2 linked regions of the Callithrix jacchus genome follow. The protein of the gene in region 1 binds, or shares a complex with, the protein of each later gene. Links are inferred from orthologs where the notes say so. Each region holds a gene or a part of one and is shown in the gene's direction. Other genes may lie near its edges. The genes, in order: XKR8 and BSG.

The links.
Region 2: the proteins of XKR8 (region 1) and BSG are in contact, whole or in part, in a cryo-EM structure (PDB 7DCE), measured with the Homo sapiens proteins. The link is inferred for Callithrix jacchus from reciprocal best matches to the Homo sapiens genes XKR8 and BSG. Residues at the interface, in NP_060523.2 of Homo sapiens: His232, Leu236, Val239, Leu242, Trp243, Leu246, Gln247, Arg280, Gly283, Arg284, Ile287, Phe291, Ser294, Asp295, Leu298, Ala301, Thr302; in NP_001719.2 of Homo sapiens: Trp326, Pro327, Gly330, Ile331, Glu334, Val335, Leu338, Val339, Ile341, Ile342, Phe343, Tyr345, Glu346, Lys350.

What each region holds. Positions count from the first base shown.
Region 1 is NC_133508.1:64,638,457-64,649,597, forward strand, and holds the end of XKR8 (XK-related protein 8), read left to right. Parts: intron 1-1,699; coding exon 1,700-1,896; intron 1,897-5,296; coding exon 5,297-6,015; 3' UTR 6,016-8,600; downstream 8,601-11,141.
Region 2 is NC_133523.1:527,327-539,015, forward strand, and holds the start of BSG (basigin), read left to right. Parts: upstream 1-4,073; 5' UTR 4,074-4,112; coding exon 4,113-4,179; intron 4,180-9,004; coding exon 9,005-9,352; intron 9,353-10,327; coding exon 10,328-10,484; intron 10,485-11,076; coding exon 11,077-11,159; intron 11,160-11,279; coding exon 11,280-11,416; intron 11,417-11,573; coding exon 11,574-11,689.

The sequences.
Region 1 (11,141 bases):
TTTTGCCTGAGGGATTGTAGAGACATCAGAAAACCCTGGGTGGGCATGAAGGGATGCAGTTGTTAAGTCCTGGGCAGGCCGGATGAGCCCTCAATCCTGCACAACCTCATGCATCTTTGCCGCCCGGATTTCTGCTGAGCTTGAGTCAGACAGACTCTACTGGCTTTGGCTTTGGAAACAGGGGTTCTGTTTCTACCTGTGACTAGGCTGAGGCAGGGGCCCGTGCCAGGCCACTGGGGAACCTCTCTGCTGAGGGAGAGCCCCAGTCTGCCCCGCCTGCCTGCTCCTCAGTGTGCTCTGTCTGGTTTGTCCAGGGAGGTGACAGCAAATGTCTGGTGAGTGAGCTTGTGATGAGTCAACGGGGTTCCCTCCCAATAGGCAACCTAGAGCAAAGTTCTGAGTGGATGGTCCTTGGTGCATCCTCCACTTACTCTTCGTGCCAGTGGGTACCTCAAGCTGTCTGTCCAACCTCTGCACTCTCTTAACTCTGCCCCAATCTCCATCCTTAACCACTCAGGGCCAGCCTCTTAAATGGGATACCTCCTTCCATTCTAACCCTCTCCAGCTCCTCCCCTGTGTGGCCAGGGTAAGGCATTCTGACCCCATCTGGTCTGTACGCAGAAGTGCCCAGCAGCTCCTCTTGCCCACAGGATCCCAGGAGATCTTGGGCACACTAAAGTTTGAGAACTGCCTCAGGCAACTTTATAGCACGCCTTTCCATTTGGATCCAAGTCCTCATTCCAGTACTTATTAGCTGCTTATAATTTTTTTTTTCAGACTACACAAAGAGAATTTTTTTTAAAGAGGTAGGGTCTAGCCAGGCATGGTGGCTCATGCCTGTGATCCCAACAGTCTGGGAGGCTGAGGTGGGGGAGCATTTGAGGTCGGGAGTTCGAGACAAGCCTGCTGAATATGGCAAAAGCTCATTTCTACTAGAAATACAAAAATTAGCCAGGTATAGTGGCGCACGCCTGTAATCCCAACATCCCAGCTACTCAGGAAGTTGAGGCAGGAGAACTGCTTGAATCTGGGAGGTAGAGGTTACAGTGAGCCAAGTTTGTGCCACTGCACTTCAGCCTGGGCAACAGGTAACAGAAGCAGACTCCAACTCGGAAAAAAGAAAAAAGAGGCAAGGTCTCTGTTGCCCAGGCTGGAATGCAGTGGCACAATCATGGCTCACAGTGGCCTTGAACTTCTGGGCTCAAGTGATCCTCCTATGTCAGCCTCCTAAGTAGCTTGGACTACAGGCTCGCACAACCATGCCCAACTGATTAAAAAAAAATTCTTGGTAAGATGGGGCTTGCTGTGTTGCCCAGGCTAATCTCAAACTCTTGGCCTCCAGTGATCCTCTTGCCTTGGCCTCTCAAAGTGTTGGGATTATAGGCGTGAGCCACTGCACCCAGCCCTTATTAGCTTCTTGATTCTGTTTTCCCATTGTAAAATGGGTTCTTGTGAGAAGTAAACAGGACAAGGTTTGTGATGAGCTTGGGACAGCGCCTGGCCAGCAGGAGTAGAAGGTGTGTGAATCCCCATTTTACAGATTAAACAAGTTCAGTGAGGTTAGAACACTGCCGAAGGCCCCATAGCATGGGTGCAAGGAGCCGGGTTGGAGCCTGTGTACATTCATTAGATGGGTGGGAGGCCGAGGACTTCACAGGATACTAACCTGGCCCTCTGGGCATCTGTGTGTGCTGCCTAGGTGCATGCAGGGGCTGCAGCAGGGGCTGCTGGTGTGGCGGCAGGAGGAGCCCTCTGAGTTTGACTTGGCCTACACGGACTTCCTCTCCCTGGACATCAGCATGCTGCGGCTCTTCGAGACCTTCTTGGAAACAACACCACAGCTCACGCTGGTGCTGGCCATCATACTGCAGAGCGGCCAGGCTGAGTGCTACCAGTGTGAGTGAAGGCCAGTGGCTGGTCCACCTTTCATAGCTTGGGGCAGGGGTCTCCCTCAAATGTTGGAGCTGTTTTTACTCTTTTATAAAGGCTGCTTAGAAACAGGAGAACAGGCTTTAGTCAGGCAGATCTGGCTTGAAACCTCAAGTCAAATGCCTTGACCTCTTTGAGTATGTTTGTTCTCATCTGAAAAATTGATATAAATAGTCCTGCCTCATAAGGCTGATGAAAGGATTAAGTGAGGTGATGCAAAGAAGGCCCATTTCCTGGTACGTAAGTTCCTGGTACGGAGTCTCACTGTCATGGCCAGTACTGGAGTACAGTGGCCTCATCACGGCTCACTGCAGCCTTGACCTCTCAAGCTCAAGTGATCCTCCTGTCTCAGCCACTCGAATAGCAGGGACTGCAGGCGTGTGTCACTATGCTGGCTAATTTTTAATTTCTTTTTTGTAGAGACGAGGTCCCACTTTGTTACCCAGGCTGGTCTTGAACTCCTGAGATGAAGTAATCCTCCTGCCTCAGCCTCCCAAGGTGATGGGATTACACATGTCGGCCACTGTGTCTGGCCCACAAATCTTAATTGTGATTTTTACAATTTTGAAGATAACAGAGATAAAGTGTGTAAGGTGCCTGATACAGAGTAGGTAACTTTTTAGTTAAGAAACAATTGAACATGTTGGGAGGCTGAGGCACACCGGTCGCTGGAGGCCAGAGTTCGAGACCATCCTGGGCAACATAGTGAGCCCTCATCTCAACAAAATTAAAAAACAAACAAACAAACAACATATTGAGAGCCTTCATCTAGTCAGGTTTTCATTGTGCGTCTCTTCTGTGCCTGTTACTGTGCTGGGGACACAGCAAACAAGATGAACCCAGCCCCTGCCCTGCCAGGATGATAGACTAACACAAGTAGCTGTGGTACAACATGTTGAGTGACGGGAGAAGGGAGAGGCAGGGGGCAGGGGGCAGGGGGCAGGGGGCAGGGGCTCGCAGGGCCCCTAAGTATGGGTGAAGTTTATAGTGAGGAGCTTTGGGAGGGTTTTTTCCCATAAAAGGAAAGTGATTTGCCCATTTTCCTTTTCTTTGAGATGGAGTCTCACTCTGTTGTCCCTGCTGGAGTGCAGTGGTGCACTCTCAGCTCACTGCAACCTCCACCTCCCAGGTTCGCCTCTGCCTCAGCAATTCTCTGCCTCAGCCTCCCGAGTAGCTAGGATTACAGGTGTCACCCACTACACCCGGCTAATTTTTGTATTTTTAGTAGAGATGGGGTTTCACCATCTTGGCCAGGCTGGTCTTGAACTCCTGATCTCATGATCCACCTGCCTTGGCCTCCCAAAGTGCTGAGATTACAGGCACGAGCCACCGTGCTCAGCTGACTTGCCCATTTTCACAGACCCAGACAGCCAAGCAAATAGGGCCCCCACTCATATCCGATTCAGGGTCCAGGGCTTCCCCTTTGCCTTCCTCCATAGCTGCCGTAAATGCCACAGCCTCTCAAGGAAGCAGTCCCTACTCTACTGTCACTCGCTGTGTGTCCTGGAGAGCCTTCCTGTGGAAGATGAGGGTTAGACTCGATCTCCAAGGGCCCTTTCATCTTGCTAGTCTGAGTCTATAATACTGATTGAAAAAACAGTAATAGCAGCCATCACAATCGAGTGCCAGTTATCAGCCAGGCCCAGGGGAAGCGTCTACAGTCATCCTTGCTCACGTTCACAGCAGCCCTGTAGGTCTGTGCTATATTGATGTCCATTTTTTTTTTTTGAGTCGGAGTTTTACTCTTGTTGCCCAGGCTGGAATGCAGTGGCGTGATCTCGGCTCACCGCAACCTCTGCCTCCCGGGTTCAAGCGATTTTCCTGCCTCAGCCTCCCCAGTAGCTGGGATTACAGGCATGCGCCACCATGACCGGCTAATTTTATATTTTTAGTATAGACGGGGTTTCTCTCTGTTGGTCGAACTCTCAACCTCAGGTGATCCGCCTGCCTCGGCCTCCCAAAGTGCTGGGATTACAGGTGTGAGCCACTGCTCCTGGCCTCGATCTCCATTTTTAGAGGTGCAGAAAGGTGAGTGACTTGCCCTGGGTCGCTCGGCACTCATTGGGCACATGTTTTTGTCTGCTGAGGGTGGGGGTGTTTAGAACTAGGACCAAGTGCAGATAGTCTGCACTGTGTGTATGCTAGTGGGTATGGGGGACAGACTGATTTTCTCTATTTTTTATTTAGCAAACATCTCTTTCACCGCTGTTAAGTGCCAGGTACTGGGCTGCTGGGGGATCCCAAGTGAGCAGAGTCTGTTTTTTACCCTCAAGGAGCTCAGAGATAAGGAAATAGATAATTACTGTGTGATGAGGCTGCAGACAAGGTGGGTGGCATGTTACAGGGATACCTGACACAGCAGAGTGAGTGGTGTAGGGTCAGGGTGGGTGACCTAGGGCTCTTCAAGCTGGGGCTTGCAGAGTAATGTAGGCCAGGGAAATGGGGCATGTGCTTGTGGTGACCTAACATCCTGGGCAAAGCTTGTCAAGGTCACGGAAGGTGGCATGCTGGGCAAATTGGAAGAACATCAGCCATACTGAGACCTGGGCAAGTGTAACGGACAGATCTGATTCCAGGCAAGGAGTGGGTTCTGGGCACATAATAGGCTCCCAGTAAAGATCAGCCAAATGACTGCAGTGGACGGGGATAGGGGAGGAAGCAGTTCCGGTGCCACTTCCATCCCTCCCTGGAGGTCCTTGTGCTTCTGCTCCAGGATGGGTGACCAGGAGGTGGGATAGTACCCTAGGACCCCTGTCGTAAACTTCTGGATCTTGGAAAATCAAGACTAGGGGTTGGTCCGATGGCCTCTAGTCTTGAGGGGAAGGGAGTGGGGAGACCTTCTGTCTACACAGCAGGGACGTCTCTCCCGGCCCTGAGGGCAGCTTTAGCCAGTGCTGTTGCCACCCCATGGGATTTTCCACTCCTTTTTTGAGACTAAGAAAGAGGGAACTGAGACTGCTGATTTTCAGACACAAGAAAGCCTTGTGCTCTTCCCAGAAAGAAAGGGTTATGGGGCCCTGGAAGATGCTCAGGGTGCAGCCAAGGCCCAGGGATGCAGGGTGCTGAGGAGCCACAAGTCATACCCTGTCATCTTTGAAAAATACCTGAATCGCACCTGAGCAGCAAAGCACTGTGATGAGGGGCTGGTTCCATATTAGGAGTTGTAGCTTTATTTTTGGTCATAGGAACTCGCTGGGACTCTACTTTCCCCAGAGGGATATCTCCAGCTGAAGATTTGCCTTCAACAATTGGGGGATTCTAATACCCACAGCAGGGTTGCTGGGAGGGCCCCCATGGTACCTGCAACCCCTGGGGAGTGCCAAGCAGGCTGGCCCCAGTACTCACTGTTCCTGCCTACTTTTTGCAGGGGTTGGCATCTGCACGTCCTTCCTGGGCATCTCGTGGGCACTGCTTGACTACCACCGGGCCTTGCGCACCTGCCTTCCCTCCAAGCCCCTCCTGGGTTGGGGCTCCTCCGTGATCTACTTCCTGTGGAACCTGCTGCTGCTGTGGCCCCGAGTCCTGGCTGTGGCCCTGTTCTCAGCCCTCTTCCCCAGCTATGTGGCCCTGCACTTCCTGGGCCTGTGGCTGGTGCTGCTGCTCTGGGTCTGGCTTCAGGGCACAGACTTCATGCCAGACGCCAGCTCTGAGTGGCTGTACCGGGTGACGGTGGCCACCATCCTCTATTTCTCCTGGTTCAACGTGGCTGAGGGCCACACCCGAGGCCGGGCCACCATCCACTTGGCCTTCCTCCTAAGTGACAGTATTCTCCTGGTGGCCACCTGGATGACTCATAGCTCCTGGCTGCCCAGCGAGATTCCACTGCAGCTGTGGCTGTCTGTGGGAGGTGGCTGCTTCCTTCTGGGCCTGGCTCTGCGACTTGTGTACTACCGTTGGCTGCACCCTAGCTGCCACTGCTGGGAGCCTAAGCCTGACCAAGTGGATGGGGCCCGGAGTCTACTTTCCCCAGAGGGATATCAGCTGCCTCAGAACAGGCGCATGATCCAGTTAGCACAGAACTTTTTCCCCAAGGCTAAGGATGGGGCTGCTTCACCAGTGAAGGGAGAGGTGAACGGCATCCTTTGAAGCAGGATTAGATGCAGCTGGCAGAGATGGACAGTGACTCCGCTGGCAGAAGGCAGGCGATAAGCTAACGATGCTGCTGTGGGCTCCATGCACTCAGCAAGAGTGGGATACCTGTCCTGGGCCAGGCACCGGGGATGCTGCTGAGTGGGGCAGAGGCCTGCCTTCAAGGAGTTCACAGAGAACAAGATGAGAAGGGCTGGGCCCTGCAGGGTCAACAGCCCCAGTTAGGTACAAGACACTTGGGGAGGAAAGAAGACTACCTTTTCTTTTCCCCCTGCCAGTTGGTATAGCTGGTGCCCCAAAACTTTCTACCTCCCTGGCTACCTCTAAAATAATTGATGTAGGTGCTGCCCTATCCTGGGCTAGAAGGCCACAGCACCCCCAGGGGCTGTCCTCTAGAATTCTTCCTTCCTTCCCCACACCATTCTTTCAATTCATGAAACAAATCTTTGCTAAGAGCAGTTTATGTGCCAGGAACAAGACCAGCTACCACCCTAGCTTCATGTCCTACCTGCACCAACCAGTCCTGGGTTAGATTTCAAATGCCGGAAGCTAGGGATGCCCAACTCTGGGTGATCCCAGTCCACCTCCAAGATCTCAGTGAAGCTGTCCTGGCCTCTTGCTTCTGCTCTCAAGGGGCTGCTTTTCAACCAAGAGCCTTGTGAGCCTGTGTTCTGGGCCTTGCACAGCCACTGAGTATTTTTTATTCTTTAGCCAGTGTTCCTCCTACCTCACAGTCTATGTGAGGGAAGAGACTGTGTGTGTCTGTGTGTCTCTGCAAGTGACAGATGTGTTGTTTTTGTTTAACAGTATTATTTGGTTTTTAAAGCCTCATGAACTCCTCCAACATAGTCTGTTATCATCAAACAAAATCTATGGAGGTCAGAGCCTGAACTGGAGGAGGTCAGGGACATAAAATCTACTTCTCAAAATCGGTCAAGGCCTCCAGAACAGAGAGAGGGCTGGCTCAGGTGGGGCTTCTAAACCTCGTTTTTGAAGTTTAAGGAGGTGGTGAACCAGCGTGGGGTTGACAGCTCAGCTGGGGATCAGAATCCAGATATGGGCTGACTTAGTGCATCCTCTTCACCACCAGCTCTGCTGCTGGGACCAGCAGGAGTGGCCACAAACATTTAGGGCCAAGAAGTGAACATAGAGCCTGGTGAAGAAAGGTCATTTTGCTGGGAGCTCTGAGAGGTTACGTGATGAGGTGGCTTAGGGGATGTAGATGTGGGTGGGTGATGGTGCTAGGGAGGTGGAGTCTTTTGCTGCTATAGGAGGTCTGTGGTTTGGAAAAACAAGGGACAGAAAAGTCACTTGAGATAGAGAAGAAAATGTTCCAGTCACCACTGTGATGGGATTCAGGATAGTTTCAGTTCTGTTACTCTGCTGGAGACACAAAAACCAGGATAAGTAAAACATTTAGTATATTACATAGTGTTAAGTGCTAAAAGAAAAAGGGAAAGGGCTAGGGAGAGAGTAGGTATTTGTGTTTTGCGGGTGGGAATTACAACTTTGTATAGGATGGCTGGGGAAGGCCTTCCTGAAAAGCTAATAAGCCAGTTAGTAGTGATGGGTGTCTCAGGGTCAGGAGAAGCAGAACCTGGAGTCACTGGTGGCATGAACCACTGTCAAGGAAGGAATGTTGCAAACGGAATTCCACAGGATGAAGTGTTTGTAGCCACTCTGTTGGCCTGGAGCGAAAGATGACCCAGAGATGAAGGGTGGGGGCAGGGAGAGGATCTGTGAGGACAATGCTGGTGACTTTTACATAAAAACAATGGATAGAGGCAGAAGGAATCCCGCAGACCATCCTGTCTAGACATTTTCAGACTTCTGAATATCATGAACCTATAAAATGGCCAACATGGTTGCAACTTAATTTTAACAAAAGGTCATTAAAAACTACCATTTACTTTCATCATCTCATAAAAGGAGGTACCAATCTTAGAGCAAAGGACCATTCTTCTAATAGAATACATATAAACACACACGCCTGACATTAATTGCAGGAGGAGATGGAGATGTTTTATCTACTCTGTGCTTGGAAATCAGTATCTCTAATATTTTTACTTATAACTGAGTAAAGATATAGCAGCTAACGGGTTTGCTTCAACTAATGTGTGGTTCAAATCTGCACCTAATGAGGAAAACATTTAATTACTAGAATAGGCAACCTTGTCTTTTCTAGGGATTTTTGGAAAAATACATCTTATAGTCTGACGTGTATGGTACTTCCATGGAAGCTAGAACCCAATTCTAATTTCCTGCACTGGGTTAAAAGGCAGAAAGGCTCCATGACTGTTTTCTAAACCAGTGGGGTACAGCCAGACCCAAATCAGACAAATGAAATGAGAAAAAGTAGTTGATGTGACATGAAATCAGGCCAAATCAAATGAGGTCTGATATCAATTTATCAGTTTTATTGCTTTTGCTGTTTAAGCTCAGCATAGCAAGGTACTCATTTCTCTCAGTAATTCAAATTCAGCACATTTGGCAGTGAATGAAATCTTTTCTTGTTCCAGTTCTAAACTTTAAAAAGCAGTGTTTTAGAAACAATAAATGCTCCCATGCAAATTATTTAAAAATATTTTCCCATGTGTATATTTATACGAAATGGTTTTGCTTTTTTCGGTGAAATGACAGTTACTCAAAGAGTGACATCTCTCCAATGAACTCTTTAGAACCTTTAGGAAGCCATAGTTAGGACCCTCACAGTTGGGCAACTGGGCTGATCCTATTCAGAAAAGACACAGGAGCAAACTATAGAAAATAAAAACTTTATTTTTTTCAAGTTTATAAGATAGTTCCCATTACGTTTATATAACATTATGGTCATGGATTCTACAGCCACGAATGCCCGCAGTCACATAAATATATCCAATCCGATCAATGCCTTTTCCTGCTAACAGGCACCTGCAGTCCAGAGGGAGAGTCTTGTTTTGAGTAGAAGTCGTCCTTAATGGGAGGGCTCCTGTCAGTGCATTAGGAACTAGCCAAGGAGCCTTGCTTTCCGGAGCTGTCTGACTCAGAGGAGAGGAAGGGACAGATGGCCTGCTGACTGGGGCCGAGGCAGAACTAGATTTTCTCTTGTGGTTTAAGATATTTTAGAATCTTGAAATTCAGATCATACAGTGTGAATATCTGGGGATTTCTAACTTCTGGATGAAAAATGAAACCAATTAAGTGGTAAGAAATAGAAGCCTGCTTAAGAGGGACCCTAACTGCCTCCTTGAAGAGGAGTGAGGTTTCAGAGGAAGACCCTAAGCTCACCACTCCTTGGCCCAGACCATTGCTCTACCCCATACTCCTCTCCCCCATGGTTCAGTGACACCGACACCCATTCAAGGTTGTGAACATCTAGAAGCTCCATATGCTGCAGCTGGAGTTTGTCAATCAGATTCTATCTGGAGCTTTAAAGCTGAGTTTGTGTAAACTGCGAACAAGCTGTGGCATCAGTCTCTTGGGACAACTCACTAGCTTTACAGAAGACAGAAACACCTCAAATTAAACAAAAGCTCAGACAGGCATCTAAATCTGGAGCAGGTGTCCATTCTTCTGGACACTACCAGCTGCCCCAGGGGCACTGGACAGGGTGATGCTAAGGCACAGTCAGTTTTACATTCGAAAGTCAAGCCACCTCTTCAACCCAAGACACACCTCACTCCAGATCTACTAGAGAGAGCCCTTACTGTGACATTACAGACCCATCTTATAGAACCCATAGTGCCCAGTTGGGGAAGGACTCACCATTTGGCTAATTTCATGAGGAACCCTTTCTAATGAAGAGGGGCTCCCCCTTGACAACTAGACCCACAGTATCCTTTGGCCGTCACCTTCCAACAGCTCTTAATCCTACCCACTTATTTTCTTTTCCAGATTTTTGTGTTGCAGAGGAGAAAAAGGGTAATGAGAGAGAGAGAGAGAGAGAGAGAGAGAGAGAGAGAGAGCGAGCGCGCGCACTGTGTTCCCTGACAATTCATTTTGGCAAAGAGCCAAGAAGCTCCTGTTTTCTGTTTTCTGTCTAAATAAGGGTGGCAACAACTAGGAATGAGCAGAGACTGCTCCGTTCAGCCTCCTTACCTCTCTTGGCCAAGTTTAAGTTCCTTTTGGAAAGAGCTAAGCTAGGAAGTCAGGGCAAGAGGAAAAAGGCCATTGATAAAAGTGAGTCTAAGTTATATTCTAAGAATAAAGAGCTCCCATAAGGATGGAGAGGGAAGTATATGTGTGTGTGCTTGTGTGCATGGTGGGGGTACCACTCCACAGCCTCACAAACCTGAAGCACAGGACCAACACTCGTGGCCTCTGTCCAGGACAAAAACCTAACAGCTATACTGGCATTAGCGGGAGGGCTGGAGGCCTCAGAGTAAAACCTAGAGCTTTCCAAGATCAATCATCAAACAAGTCAGAGCAGTATCTAGGCAATTCTGCTGAATACAGACCAATGGAAGGCCTTCCTCACACTACATCTCCCTCCTCCCAGCCCCACAGGCAACAAGGCCAAAGAGGCAGCTAGGTAAAGGAGCACTGACTTCAGCTACTCGTCAAAAACTTACTCCTTAAAATGGTGAGTCATGAGCACTTTTCAGTGAGTCTGAAGGAATGTGTATACCAGCCTTTCTCTGTTGCTATCTGGGTGGCCTGGCATTGGAAGGAGTCTTGCCTCTGTGCTGCAGTATCTTTGAAATGGGTGTGCAGAGTCTCTGGCGACAAGCAATTATAGCTGGGGTTAGTCAACAATGCCTCCTTCTGAGGACCAATCCTGCATCTCAATCTGAGGGGCTTATATCATCTCTCTGTGCAGCCTGGGAGAGGCTGAACTTCCTCAGCTCTAGGGAATTTTATCCTGCCTGAGCAGATGCCCAGATTGGTCTTGGAGGGCTAGGCTAGAAGGCTGTGACTAGTGCCTGGGCACCCACCAATCTTCCCAGAGGTGGAGAGATGCTCTTCATCTGGCCCAGGATTAAGTTTGGGGCATGAAGTAGGGAATGACCCAGCACTCTCATCTAAATCAGGAAAGTTTGGCCAGGTGCAGTGGCTCATGCCTGTCATCCCAACACTTTGGGAGGCCAAGGTGGGAGGATTGCTTGAGGCCAGGTGTTTGAGACCAGCCTTGGCAACACAGGAAA
Region 2 (11,689 bases), on another chromosome or scaffold:
GACCTCCCAAAGGGCCCAGATTGCAGGTGTGAGTCACCACGCCCGGCCTCGTAAAGGCCCCTTTTTCTAAACAGGGCCACATTCGCAGGTTCTCGGCGTCACACCGTTTGGGGGTCGCCGTCCTGCCCGCCACACCCATCTCTGCATGGACTGACCTCTCCCCGGCCTCGGCCCTCCCGGTCTGGGTTCCTGACCTTGGCCGCTGCCTCCTCCTGGACACCAGTCAGTCACGTGGGGACCCATACAGTGCCCTTAGGGCGAAACCCGCACTCCTCCCACCAATCACTGGGGAGTGTCTCAACCGCCTGGAAAGTGGCTGGAATTCAAAGCCAAGCCCCTCAGAAAAATGCAAGGGAAAAATTCAGGATGGGGCTGGGCACCTCGGGAGGCTGAGGCCGACCCTTGTCGCCCTGGAGTTTGAGATTGGCCTGTGCAATTCGAGGCTCTAGCTCTACCAAAAACAACATAAAAAGTAGCCCAGCGTGGTGGCTCCCGGCCACGGTCCCAGCTACCCTGCGGATGAGGTGGGAGGCTGGCTTGAGCCCAGGAGGTCGAGGCTGCAGGGAGCCATGATTGTGCCACTGCACTCCAGCCTGGCAGACAGCGCAAGAGTCTCAAAGCAAAAAAAAAAAAAAAAACATTTAATTAAGGGTTGGGCGAGGTGGCCTGCGCCTGTCATATCAGCACTTTGGGAGGTCGAGGCAGGTGGATCACTTGAAGTCAGGAGTTTGAGACCAGCCTGGCCAACATGGCGAGACTCCGTCTCCACTAAAAAGACAAAAATTAGCCGGGCGCGGTGGCGCGTGCCTGTAATCCCAGCTACTCGGGAGGCCGAGGCGGGAGAACGGCTTGAACCCGGGAGGCGGAGGTTGTAGTGAGCTGAGATCGCGCCCCTGCACTCCAGCCTGGGTGACCGGGGAAGACTCCCTCTGAAACAAATAACGGAAAAAGACTGCGGACGGAGGGCCCACAGAGGTGGTGGGGCCGGGCCTGAGGGAGGCCGGGAGGAGTCTGACTGCTGGAACAAAGCAGGAGGAGCTTTGGGCTCCCCTCCCCGCCGAAATCTCACTCTCTAGCCAGGCTGGAGTGCAGTGGCACGATCTCAGCTCACTGCAACCTCCACCTCCCGGGTTCAAGAGATTCTCCTGCCTCAGCCTCCCGAGTAGCTGGGACTACGGGCACGTGCCACCGTGCCCGGCTACGTTTTGTATTTTTAGTGCAGATGGGGTTTTGCCACCTTGGCCAGGCTGGTCTCAGGTGATCCACCTGCCTCAGCCTCCCAAAGAGCCGGGATTACCGGCGAGCCACTGTGTCCGGCCGGCTGTAACCAGGGCAGGCATCTCCCTTCAGGGCAGAGCTGAAGAGTGAGGCCGGATGGAGAAAAGAGTGGCCCTCGTCACACTTCTGCTTGAGAAAGAGGTCCAGATCCGAAATCTCCCTCCCAGAGAAGCTCCAAGCCTCAGGGCAGAGGCGGGAGGACCAGTGAGCATCCTGGGCCTTCACCTACCCGCCGCCAATTCAGGGCACCCGGAGGGCCAGCAGGGGCAGAGGAGACAAGGGGAGTGGCGGGGGGGGGGCTCGCCGCCAGGTGGGGGAGGCGGCCGAAATCCAGGCCGCCCAGTTACACTTGAGTTTCCAATATGCAACAGATAACGTTTAGTATAAGTATATCCCATGCAGCATCTGGGATATACTTACACTAATGCATAACAACCAAAAAAAAAAAAAAAAAAACCCACTGCCTTTTCAAAATCTGAGATTTAAATTAACTGGGACCGGGCGCGGTGGCTCACGCCAGTAATCCCAGCACTTTGAGAGGCCGAGGCGGGTGGATCGCTTGAGGTCAGGAGTTCGAGACCAGCCTGGCCAAGATGGCGAAACCCCATTTCTACTAAAAATACAAAAATTAGCGGGGCCTGGTGGCAGGTTCCTGTAATCCCAGCTACTCCGGAGGCTGAGGCAGGAGAATCTTTGGGGGGGTGGGGGGCAGGGGGAGTTTCTGGCTCTGCCTGTGGGTCAGAAATGGCTTTCCAGGGAAAGGACCAGAAAATGGGGTCTTCAAGTCTCAAATCAGTCACAGGCTTTATTTTGTAAACAATGACCAAGTTTCCAGACCTGACCTGGGGCCAGACTGGCGCCTTGCCAGGGAGGGCTCAGGAGGGGGCAGGCGTTGGGCCAGGCCCCGTGCCTGTTTACAGCCCTGGAGGGGCTTTGAAGCCAGCTGGCCCTGCTGGGCCTCGTCCGCAGTCTGTCCTCATTCCGCACGTAGCTTCAGACCCCCAGGGAGGACCTTCCAAGCCTGCTGCCAGGCGGGAGCTCTTTGGTGCTGGGCAGTTCTGAGTCTCCCAATTGTTAGTCACCCCTAGGAGGGGGTCTCCCAGAGTGAAGCCCTTAGCCCCAGCCCCCTTTATCACAAGTCCTGGGCCTCTGTTTCCCCCCCCTCCCCCACTCTGTCCAGCATCTTCCTGCCCTGGCTGGGTCCAGCCACCTCCCTGGATGGAGTTTCTCCACCCCTGCCCACCCTATGCTGGTCCCTCAGTTACCCACATACCATAGTTTTATTTATTAATTTTATTTTATTTTTTTGGTTTTTTTTTTTTGAGACGGAGTTTCGCTCTTGTTGCCCAGGCTGGAGTGCAATGGCACGATCTCGGCTCACTGCAACCTCCGCCTCCTGGGTTCAGGCAATTCTCCTGCCTCAGCCTCCCGAGTAGCTGGGATTACAGGCACGCGCCACCACGCCCGGCTAATTTTTTGTATTTTTAGTAGAGACGGGGTTTCACCTTGTTGACCGGGATGGTCTCGATCTCTTGACCTCGTGATCCACCCGCCTCGGCCTCCCAAAGTGCTGGGATTACAGGCGTGAGCCACCGCGCCCAGCCTGTCCTGGACTTTTCATAGAAACGTGATTACACACTCTGTGGCCTTTTTTCCCTTAATTTATTTATTTAGTTTTTTGAGACGGAGTCTCTATGTTGCCCAGGCTGGAGTGCAGTGGCTATTCACAGGCACGATCCCACTACTGATCAGCACGGGAGTTTTGACCTGCTCTGCTTCAGCCTGGGCCGGTTCACCCCTCCTTAGGCAACCTGGTGGTTCCTTGCTCCCGGGAGGTCACCATATTGATGCTGAACTTAGCACGGACACCCAATCGTCATAGCACACTACCGCCCAGAACTCCTGGGCTCAAGCCATCCTCCAGCCTCAGCCTCCCGAGTAGCTGGGTCTACAGGCATGCGTCACCGCACCCAGCTGTTTGTTTTTTGAGACAGGTCTCGCTCTGTCGCCCAGGCTGGAGTGCAGTGACACAGTCTGGGCTCACTGTAACCGCCGCCTCCTGGGATTACAGGCATCCACCATCAGACCCCGCTACTTTTTGTATTTTTAGTAGAGACAGGGTTTCTCCATGTTGGCTAGGCCGGTCTCGAACTCCTGACCTCAGGTGATCCGCCCGCCTCTGCCTCCCAAAAGCAACCACTTTATTTATATAACTATGCCCAGATGGTGGAGAGACGTTTATACAAACAAATTATTCATTTTTCTAAGATTCAGATTCAAATTTTTTTTTTTTTTTTTTTTAATTAAAAAAAAAAAAATAGAGACGGGGTTTCACCACGTTGGTGAGGATGGTCTCGATCTCTTGACCTCCTGCTCCGCCTGCATTGGCTTCCCAGGGCTCTGGGATTACAGACGTGAGCCACAGCGGCCAGCTGGGGGTTCATTTCGATAAAATCTGGGTAATACCCTTTTAAGGTTTCAACCCCCTCGAGCGCACCGCCCTGCCCTCTAAACTTTCAAAGCAGGGAGGAAGAAATGCGCATGCTCCAGGCGCGTCCCTTAGGCCCCTCCCGTTTCTTAGCAACGTCGCGTCCCCTGCGCCGCCGGCCGGCTTCCGTAGCTGGAGCTTGCGGGAGCTAGCGCGTGTGCGTGCGCGCGTGCGCAGGTATAGCGACCGGCATGCCCCGCGCGCGCCCCGCCCCTGCGACGCCGCCGTGCGTGCGCGCGCTCGGCCCGCACCTCCTCCCCCCCCCCCCCCCCCGCGGGTTCTTATAGCGGCCGCGGGCGGCGGCGGCGGCAGTTGGTCGCGACGGTGCTGGCGGGGACGGGACATCATGGCGGCCGCGCGGCTCGTGCTGCTGGGGTTCGCGCTGCTGGGCGTCGACGGAGCCTCCGGGGCTGGTGAGGAGTTGGCGAGGGGCGGGGGTGCGGGCCGGCGGGGGCCGGGAATGGAGGCTGCGGGTGGAGGCTGAGGTGCGGACCCGAGGCCCACGGGAGCCTGGGCCTCGGCGCGGGGCGGCCCGGGGAACGAAAGGCCGGCCCCGGAGGTTTCCCGCGGCAGCTTGGAGTCTGGCGGTGAAGTCCCAGCGTTTGAGGGGAGCTGGGGGTCCTCCCGGGGCTGCTCGCCCGGCTCCTGGGCCTCCGTGTGGGCGTGAAGCCGCTTGCTTGGGGTTGGGGTTAGGGAGCTGGGGGGGGTCCTGGCCCGGCCGGTCTCGGTCTGGGGACAGAGCGTCCTGCTTCTCGGCGGCCGCTCCCCGGCGGCGGTGGAGGATCTCGCGTCACCCCGGGTCAGGGCGGTCGCGAAGCGGGTTGCAGGTGCCCTAACCCCCGTCCCACCGGACAGAGCTTCGGTGAGCGCCCCCTTTGGCCTGGAGCCAGGGGTCAGGGGCTGGGCTGGTGCCTGCCCGACCCGTCCTGCGGGGACTGGACCCCCCCCCTCGCCTGGGAGCGTTAGGGTCAGAGACCCCCGCCCCCCCGACTCTGGGACGCTCCGGGACCCCCGCAGGGCCCGTGCTGCCTGGAGCGGTCATCTTGGCGTCCTCATCTGGAAAAGGGGCTTTTCTCCTCCAAGTGCACGCGGAGGCCCTGAGCGGGTCAGCCCTCGGGATCGGGAAGGGATTATCGTTCTTCGCGGGATTTGGCCCTGGCCTGCTGCCTCGGGTGTGCACCTGCCCCCGGGTGCTCTCCCGCACTCTTAAGCCCTGGCAGGCTGCTCCCTCGAGGGGCCCTGCCTGGAACGGAACGCAGAGCCTCCCTCCAGAGGCGCCTGGCTTCAGGACACACGAGGAGGTGGTCTCTGGATGCCCCTCCTCGTGTCACAGGCGAGGAAACTGAGGCCTGTGGGGAGCTCATGTTCCAAGGTCACAGGGAGCGCAGGAAACAGTGAGAAAGTCGTTTCTAGCAGAGTCTGACAGGGCATTCGGTTTTCAGTGCTGTTGGCAGGAGGGGGCCCTGTGCTGGGGGTGGGCAGACGTGGTTTGGAGAGTGTACTTGGGAAACGGATCGAGGTGTGATTTTCCAGGAGAAAAGCACGACAGCCATTCTTGCTTGTGGGGGCAGACTGGCTTCCTTTACTGAGTTCCTCATTTGGTTCTGGGTTATAAAGACTTACAGTGACCGGCTGGGCTCGGTGGCTCACGCCTGTAATGCCTGCACTTTGGAAGGCTTAGGCGGGTGGATCACGAGGTCAAGAGATCGAGACCATCCTGGCCAGTAGGGTGAAACCCTGTCTCTGTTACAAAACCTAAGCTGGGCGAGGTGACTCACGCCTATAATCTCAGCGCTTTGGGAGGCCAAGGCAGGCGGATCACCTGAGGTCAGAAGTTTGGGACCAACCTGATTAACATGGAGAAATCTTGTCTCTACTAAAAATACAAAATTAGTTGGGTGTGGTGGTGCACGCCTGTAATCCCAGCTACTCGGGAGGCTGAGGCAGGAGAATCACTTGAGGCAGAGGTTGTGGTGAGTGGAGATTGGGCCAGTACACTCCAACCTGGGCGACAGAGCGAGACTCTCTCAAGAAAAGAAAAGAAAAAAAAAGATTTATAGTGACCGAAGTGTTGGGAACAAGGTGCAGAGCCGGAGGATCTGGGCTCCTGAAGGGTCAAGAACCAGTGCTCTGAGCCGCTGTCCTGGGCATTGAGCTGTAGGGGCCTTGGGCAGGGGCTGGGGAGGGGCTCCCTGTTGTAGAGGCTTTGCCAGCGAACTCCTGACCCACTTCTGAGATTTCATCCTCACCAAAGTGGCCGTTTATCGAATGCCTCCTGGGTAAGGGCCTGGCCTCAGCACCCTGGCCAGCTCTCTGGGGAGACAGATAGGAGCCCACTGGGGAGGTGAAGGCTGGAGATAAGTCCACCCCAGCCCTGTGCAAACGGCCTCAGTGTCGGGAGCCAGCCAGGCTTGACTGGTTTTCAAGCACAACAGGAGGTTCCTACGTTGAGCTAATTTGACAGCCAAGTGGGTGAAAGACCTTTGGTCTCTCCCTGCTGGGTAGGGTGGTTCACGGTTTTGTTCCTCTGGTGCTCAAGACTGAGAATCGCTTGTCCTCAGCAGAAAGCTTAGCATGGGGCTTACTGGCCAGAGCTGCAGCCTGGGAAGCAGGTGGAGTCTGTGATGCCGGGAGCGCTGCTGTGCAGGTGTGCGTGTGTGCAAGTGTGTTCTCGTGTGTTTGGGTGTGTGTGTTTGCTTGAGCACACGTGTGGGGGATGGGACGTGGGTCCCCGTCCTCGGAGCGTCTCTGTGCTTTTAACAAACGCCACCTTTGCTGGGGACTGACTCCTGAAGACCCGAAGGTCTGGGCTACACAGCCTTGTGTCCTGCGTGGGGTGGACACTGATGTTTGCTCTGTGTATTCGTGACCCTGTTTGCGTCTCCTGAACCTTGCTTCAGGGGCCTCTGGGGGCTTGGGTGGGGCAAGTGCCTGAGGTTGGCCATCTATAGCTCCTGTGGGCTTGTCAGACTGGAGGGCCCCAGTGTGCCGGCTGGGTCCCAAGGGCAGAGGGCTTCACCCCTGAGCCTCCTATGGGAGGAGTGGGAGTGCCTGGCTGCAGCAGGTGGGGTGGGGAGGGAGGTGCCCGCAGACGCCTCCCAGAGCTGTTTTCTCTGGCTTCTGTCAGAGTGCTGCAGTGGGTGGGGAGGAGGGCGGATGGGGGCGGGCGGCCGGCCTTATCCTGTGGGGCTGCTTGTGTACCACGAGGCCTGCCTGGCCCTGAGCCCCAGCCTGGCTGCCGAGTGGGCAAGGAGGCGGTGGCTGTTTTTAGATGAAGGTGACTTTACTTGAGAACATGGGTTATGGGTCATGTGGCCAGAATCGAATGCTCACCTTTCTGGGGCCTGTGGCTGAGAGTCAGGCACTGCCCCTCCTCCTAGTGCTCCTGAGTGGAGGCTCCTGGCATGGAGGGCGGGTTGCCCGGTGGGGTGGGGGGCTCTCCAGCGTACCCAGGAGCCTCTATGGAGGCTTTCTCCTCCTGTGGCCCACACTAGTGGCACTTCAGAACAGACACCAGCGCCATCAGCAAACGGAGGGCCCACGGGCGGTTGTTCTGTCCAGAGCCTTTTGGTCCCTTTGGGAGTGATGCCGTCCACCCGCTGAGAAGGTGGAGGACCCAGTTGCAGCACGGTCACCGGTGCAGACGGCCCCTCAGAGCCTTGGACTTCGAGGCACAGGCTGGCTCGGTTTCCCACAGGACGCCTGGGTATTCCCGAGGCTGGAGGCTGGATCACAGGGGCCTCTTCAGGGCCTGGGGGGAAGGTGGGTGGGGGCAGGTTGGCTGCAGGCCTCCAGCTCCTCTGCTCTGCCCCGTGCCCTGGCCCTGCCCTGCCTGAAGGTGGGGTGTGTTGACTCAGGAGCCAGCCCTGCCTTAGCACCCCGGGTGAGGACAGTGAGGAGGATGTGGAGGGCAGCTTCGCAGGGCCTTAGGAGGAGGAGGAGGAGGAGAAGGAGGGGGCCACTGTGGGGCCGGAAGGAGCTTGCCAGCCGGGCTGCCTCTGGCTGCACTTCCTGCCCTGACTCGCCTCGCCAGGCTCTGCACGTCGCTGCTGTTTTGCAGTCTGGGAAATGTAGGTTACCAGGAGGGGACCCTTTGTGAAAGTGGCACTGCCAAACGTTGTTAATTGCTCCTGCCTGGAGTTCACCTCAGGGGGTCAGCTGTGAACATCCCCTGTCCCTGGGGCCTTGGGGCCCATGACATGTGCACTGCTATGCAGTCTCAGAGCTGTGAGCATGTGTGTGTGCCTGTGTGGTGTGTGTCTGCGGACGTGTGTCCTTGAATGCATATGTTATAGCGGTGTCTGGGAGCCTGACCTCAGAGGGCATTCTAGGAGGGGCTGCACAGTCCTGGCAGGAGTTGCAGGTGGGTGGGGTGCGCCCATTCCCCACTTCCTCTGAGTGTTCTAAGACGGGCTGCACGGTCCTGGCAGGAGGTGGCGCAGGTGGGCGAGGCATGTTTACCCTGGATGTTCTAGGGAAGGGCTGCACAGTCCCCGCGCCTGCTCCCCGTGCTTCCCCAGGGCAGGGCAGTTCCTGGCAGGCGGGTGCCAGGCACAGTGGGAGGGTGCGTGTGGATTCTCCTGTGCTCCTTTCAGCTCCGGGGCCTTCCCTTCTGTTTTGAAGGGAGGAGTGGTGGTGGGCCAGTGGTAACGGTCCCTGAGGCACTGCCGGCTCCGTCTTCCCAAATCCTCTTCTCTGGGTGGCTGCCCTGAGATTGCTGAGGACACAAGCACTTTCCACCCGCAGGCCGTCCTAACAGCCTGAGTGGGGCCTCCTGGACAGAGCCCCCTGCCCCTGTGGGCTTTGGGATTTTATTTTCTCTGCAGCTCACCGGATCTCTCGGGTCAGGGTATCGGGCAGAAGGCAGAGGATGCTGCCCTGGGGACCGGCAGTCTGGAAGTTGGGGCAGCCATGCCCACAGTCCTCTGACAGAGAGGCCCTTGGGGCTTAAATTCCTGGCTGTTCTGCCCAGTTTCATGGGTTTTGTGTTTTAAGCTACGTGTGGTTCCTCATTTATGCCATCAGAAGCCAGTGTGTCTGCTGGGAGGGTGGGAGTCAGGGGGGCGTCCACGGTGGCTCCCACGGTCTTTCTCATGCGCTGCCCTTTGGCAGCCCAGCCCCGTCACTCTCCCACAAGCCGAAAGGAAGCAGCTTCCCCCCAGCCCTGGCCAGGAGTCCTGTGGGCGAGGCCTTCCCCAGGGCGGCACTAACGAGGCTCCGCGCCCGCTCTCCCTGCAGCTGGCTTTGTGCGGGCGCCACTGTCCCAGCAGAGGCGGGTGGGGGGCCGTGTGGAGCTGCACTGTGAGGCTGTGGGCAGCCCAGTGCCGGAGATCCAGTGGTGGTTTGAGGGGCACGGTCCCAACGACACCTGCTCCCAGCTCTGGGACGGCGCCCGGCTGAACCGCGTCCACATCCACGCCACCTACCGCCAGCACGCAGCCAGCACCATCTCCATCGACACGCTCGCAGAGGAGGACTCGGGCACCTACGAGTGCCGGGCCAGCAACGACCCGGACCGCAACCACCTGACCCGGGCGCCCAGGGTCAAGTGGGTCCGCGCCCAGGCGGTGGTGCTAGTCCTGCAACGTGAGTGGCGGGCGCCTCCCTCCCCGCCTCCCTGGTTCCCTCCTGTGCCGCTCCTGCTGATAGAACCCAGACGCCTCCTGCCCCTCTCTGCCCTGCTGGGCCCACCACTGGGACAGGGGGGCCCAGACCTGAAGGGGTGGACTCGCCCTTGACCGCCAGCGCTGGGCGACCTGGCTTGGGGCGGGCAGAGCTCTGCCTTCCAGCAGGTGGGTCCTTGTCCTCCCTCGACCCTGCACTGTCTGTGCCGCCGTCCCTCTCTGCTCCCCCGGGCGCCTGCCTGGCTCCTTTCCTGAGTGTCTGTCCACACTGCCAGCCTGAGGGGCCCTCCAGCCTCAGTCCAGGCTTGCTGCCCTCAGAACCTTCTGTGTCCTGCTCAGCGTCTCGTCCTAAGGGATTTTCACATTCAGTCCTAACCGGAACATTGTAAATTAACCAAGAGATTTGCTCGATGGGGATTGGCAGGAGAACCGGGTGCTCCCAGTGCTGCAGTGCCGTCAGCCTGGAATCGGGTGGATGGGGTCACCTGGGAGCCCCATCCAGGGGCAGGTCTCCACCAGCGGGCATCTGAGGGGCCGTCGAAGGAGGCAGCCTTGGCCAGGGAGGCAGCCTTGGCCGGGGGGCGATTTGGCTGTTTTTTTCAGACAGAAATTTCCAGTTTGTGCTGGGGCTGCTCAAGAGCTCTGTGCCCTGGTCCCTGCTCAGGGACGGGGTGGGTGCCTTGTCTGTCCCGACACCTGGGACCCAGCCTCCTGTGTCTCTGGACAGGAGATCACTGGGTGGGGCCCATCAGCTGCCAGCAAAGGCACCTTCCGGAGGTGCAGCCAGATGTTCCCCTCGGGGTGTCAGGGCCACGGTGTAGTTTCAGAGCCGAAAACAAGTCGTTCAGGGAGGAGCTGTGGGTTCCTGGGTGTCAGGCAGGCAGCGCGGGCTGTGCTCTTCCACTGTGTGCTGACTGCGTCTCCCCGGGCCTCGCAGCTGGGGCAGTTTCCACCTCCGTAGAAAACGTCGGCTCCAAGACGCTCCTCACCTGCTCTTTGAATGACAACGCCACAGAGGTCACCGGGCACCGCTGGCTGAAAGGGGACGTGGTGTTGCAGGAGGATTCGCAGCCTGGACAGAGAATGAACCTGGAGTGAGTGCCGGGCCCCGCGACGCCACTGCGTGGCCTTCTCACCGCTCTCTTGCTGCCATCGGCCTCTGTGGGCCGTGAGAACAGGCTTGATCCAGGCGGAAGTTAGGGATGAGATCTGCTCAGACCCCCAGAGGGAAGCCCCAGGGAAGGTCCTGAGGGACGCCCCTGGGAGCTAAGCTTGTTGCTCCCTTGCCAGGTCCTTGGCACACGTGCAACTCATGAGCGCGTGCTTCTGACACAAGAGAGTGCCACCCTGAGGCCTGCCCTTTGCGGACCCCAGACGCCAGCCACCATGGCTGGAGCCTCGTCATAACTGGGCTGGGGCGGCCCTGGGAGCACAGAGCCGGGAAGATGGTCACAGGGTATAGGGTGCAGAGTAGGGACCAGAGGTGTGGGTGCGTCGGTCCGGGGCGGGGGCCGTCTGTTGGTTTTCTCACCGCTTCCCATGGGGTCTTGCCAGCCTGGCTCTCCCTGGGTCTGCAGGAGACCAGGGCTTGTGCTGAGGTTCAGCCTTGCTTTTTCACTGGACCCTGGGTCCTGGGAGGCGTCCTGCAGAGCCGGTACATGGCTCACCCACCTGCTGTGCTTGCAGGGTGGACCCCGATGACCGCTGGGGAGAGTACTTCTGCGTCTTCCTCCCTGAGCCCACGGGCAGGGCCAGCATCCCGCTCCGAGGTGAGTCTGCGGCTAGGGCTGCTGGGCACCACCGACTGTCCACTGCCTGGAGAAGCTGGAGGGGAACGGCCTCTCCTGCGGGCCCTGTGGTTCCAGGCTCCTCTCTCACCCTCCTGTCAGGGCCCCCCCGAGTGAAGGCTGTGAAGTCGTCGGAACACATCAACGAGGGCGAGACGGCCGTGCTGGTCTGCGAGTCCAAGTCTGCGCCTCCCGTCACCGACTGGGTGTGGTACAGGATCACTGACGCTGGGGACCAGGTGAGGAGCTGAGGGGCCGGGGCAGGGGGTCCCGGGCTCAGCCCCCAGGACCAGGTGAGGGGCCAGGGCTGGGGGTCCCAGGCTCAGCCCTCAGGACCAGGTGAGGGGCCAGAGCTGGGGATCCCGGGCTCAGCCTCTCTGTCCTTGATCCCCTCAGGTCATCGTGAACGGCTCCCAGAGCAGGTTCTTCGTGAATTCCTCGCAGGGCCGGTCCGAGCTGCACATCAAGAACCTGAACATGGAGGCCGACCCCGGCAAGTATGCGTGCAACGG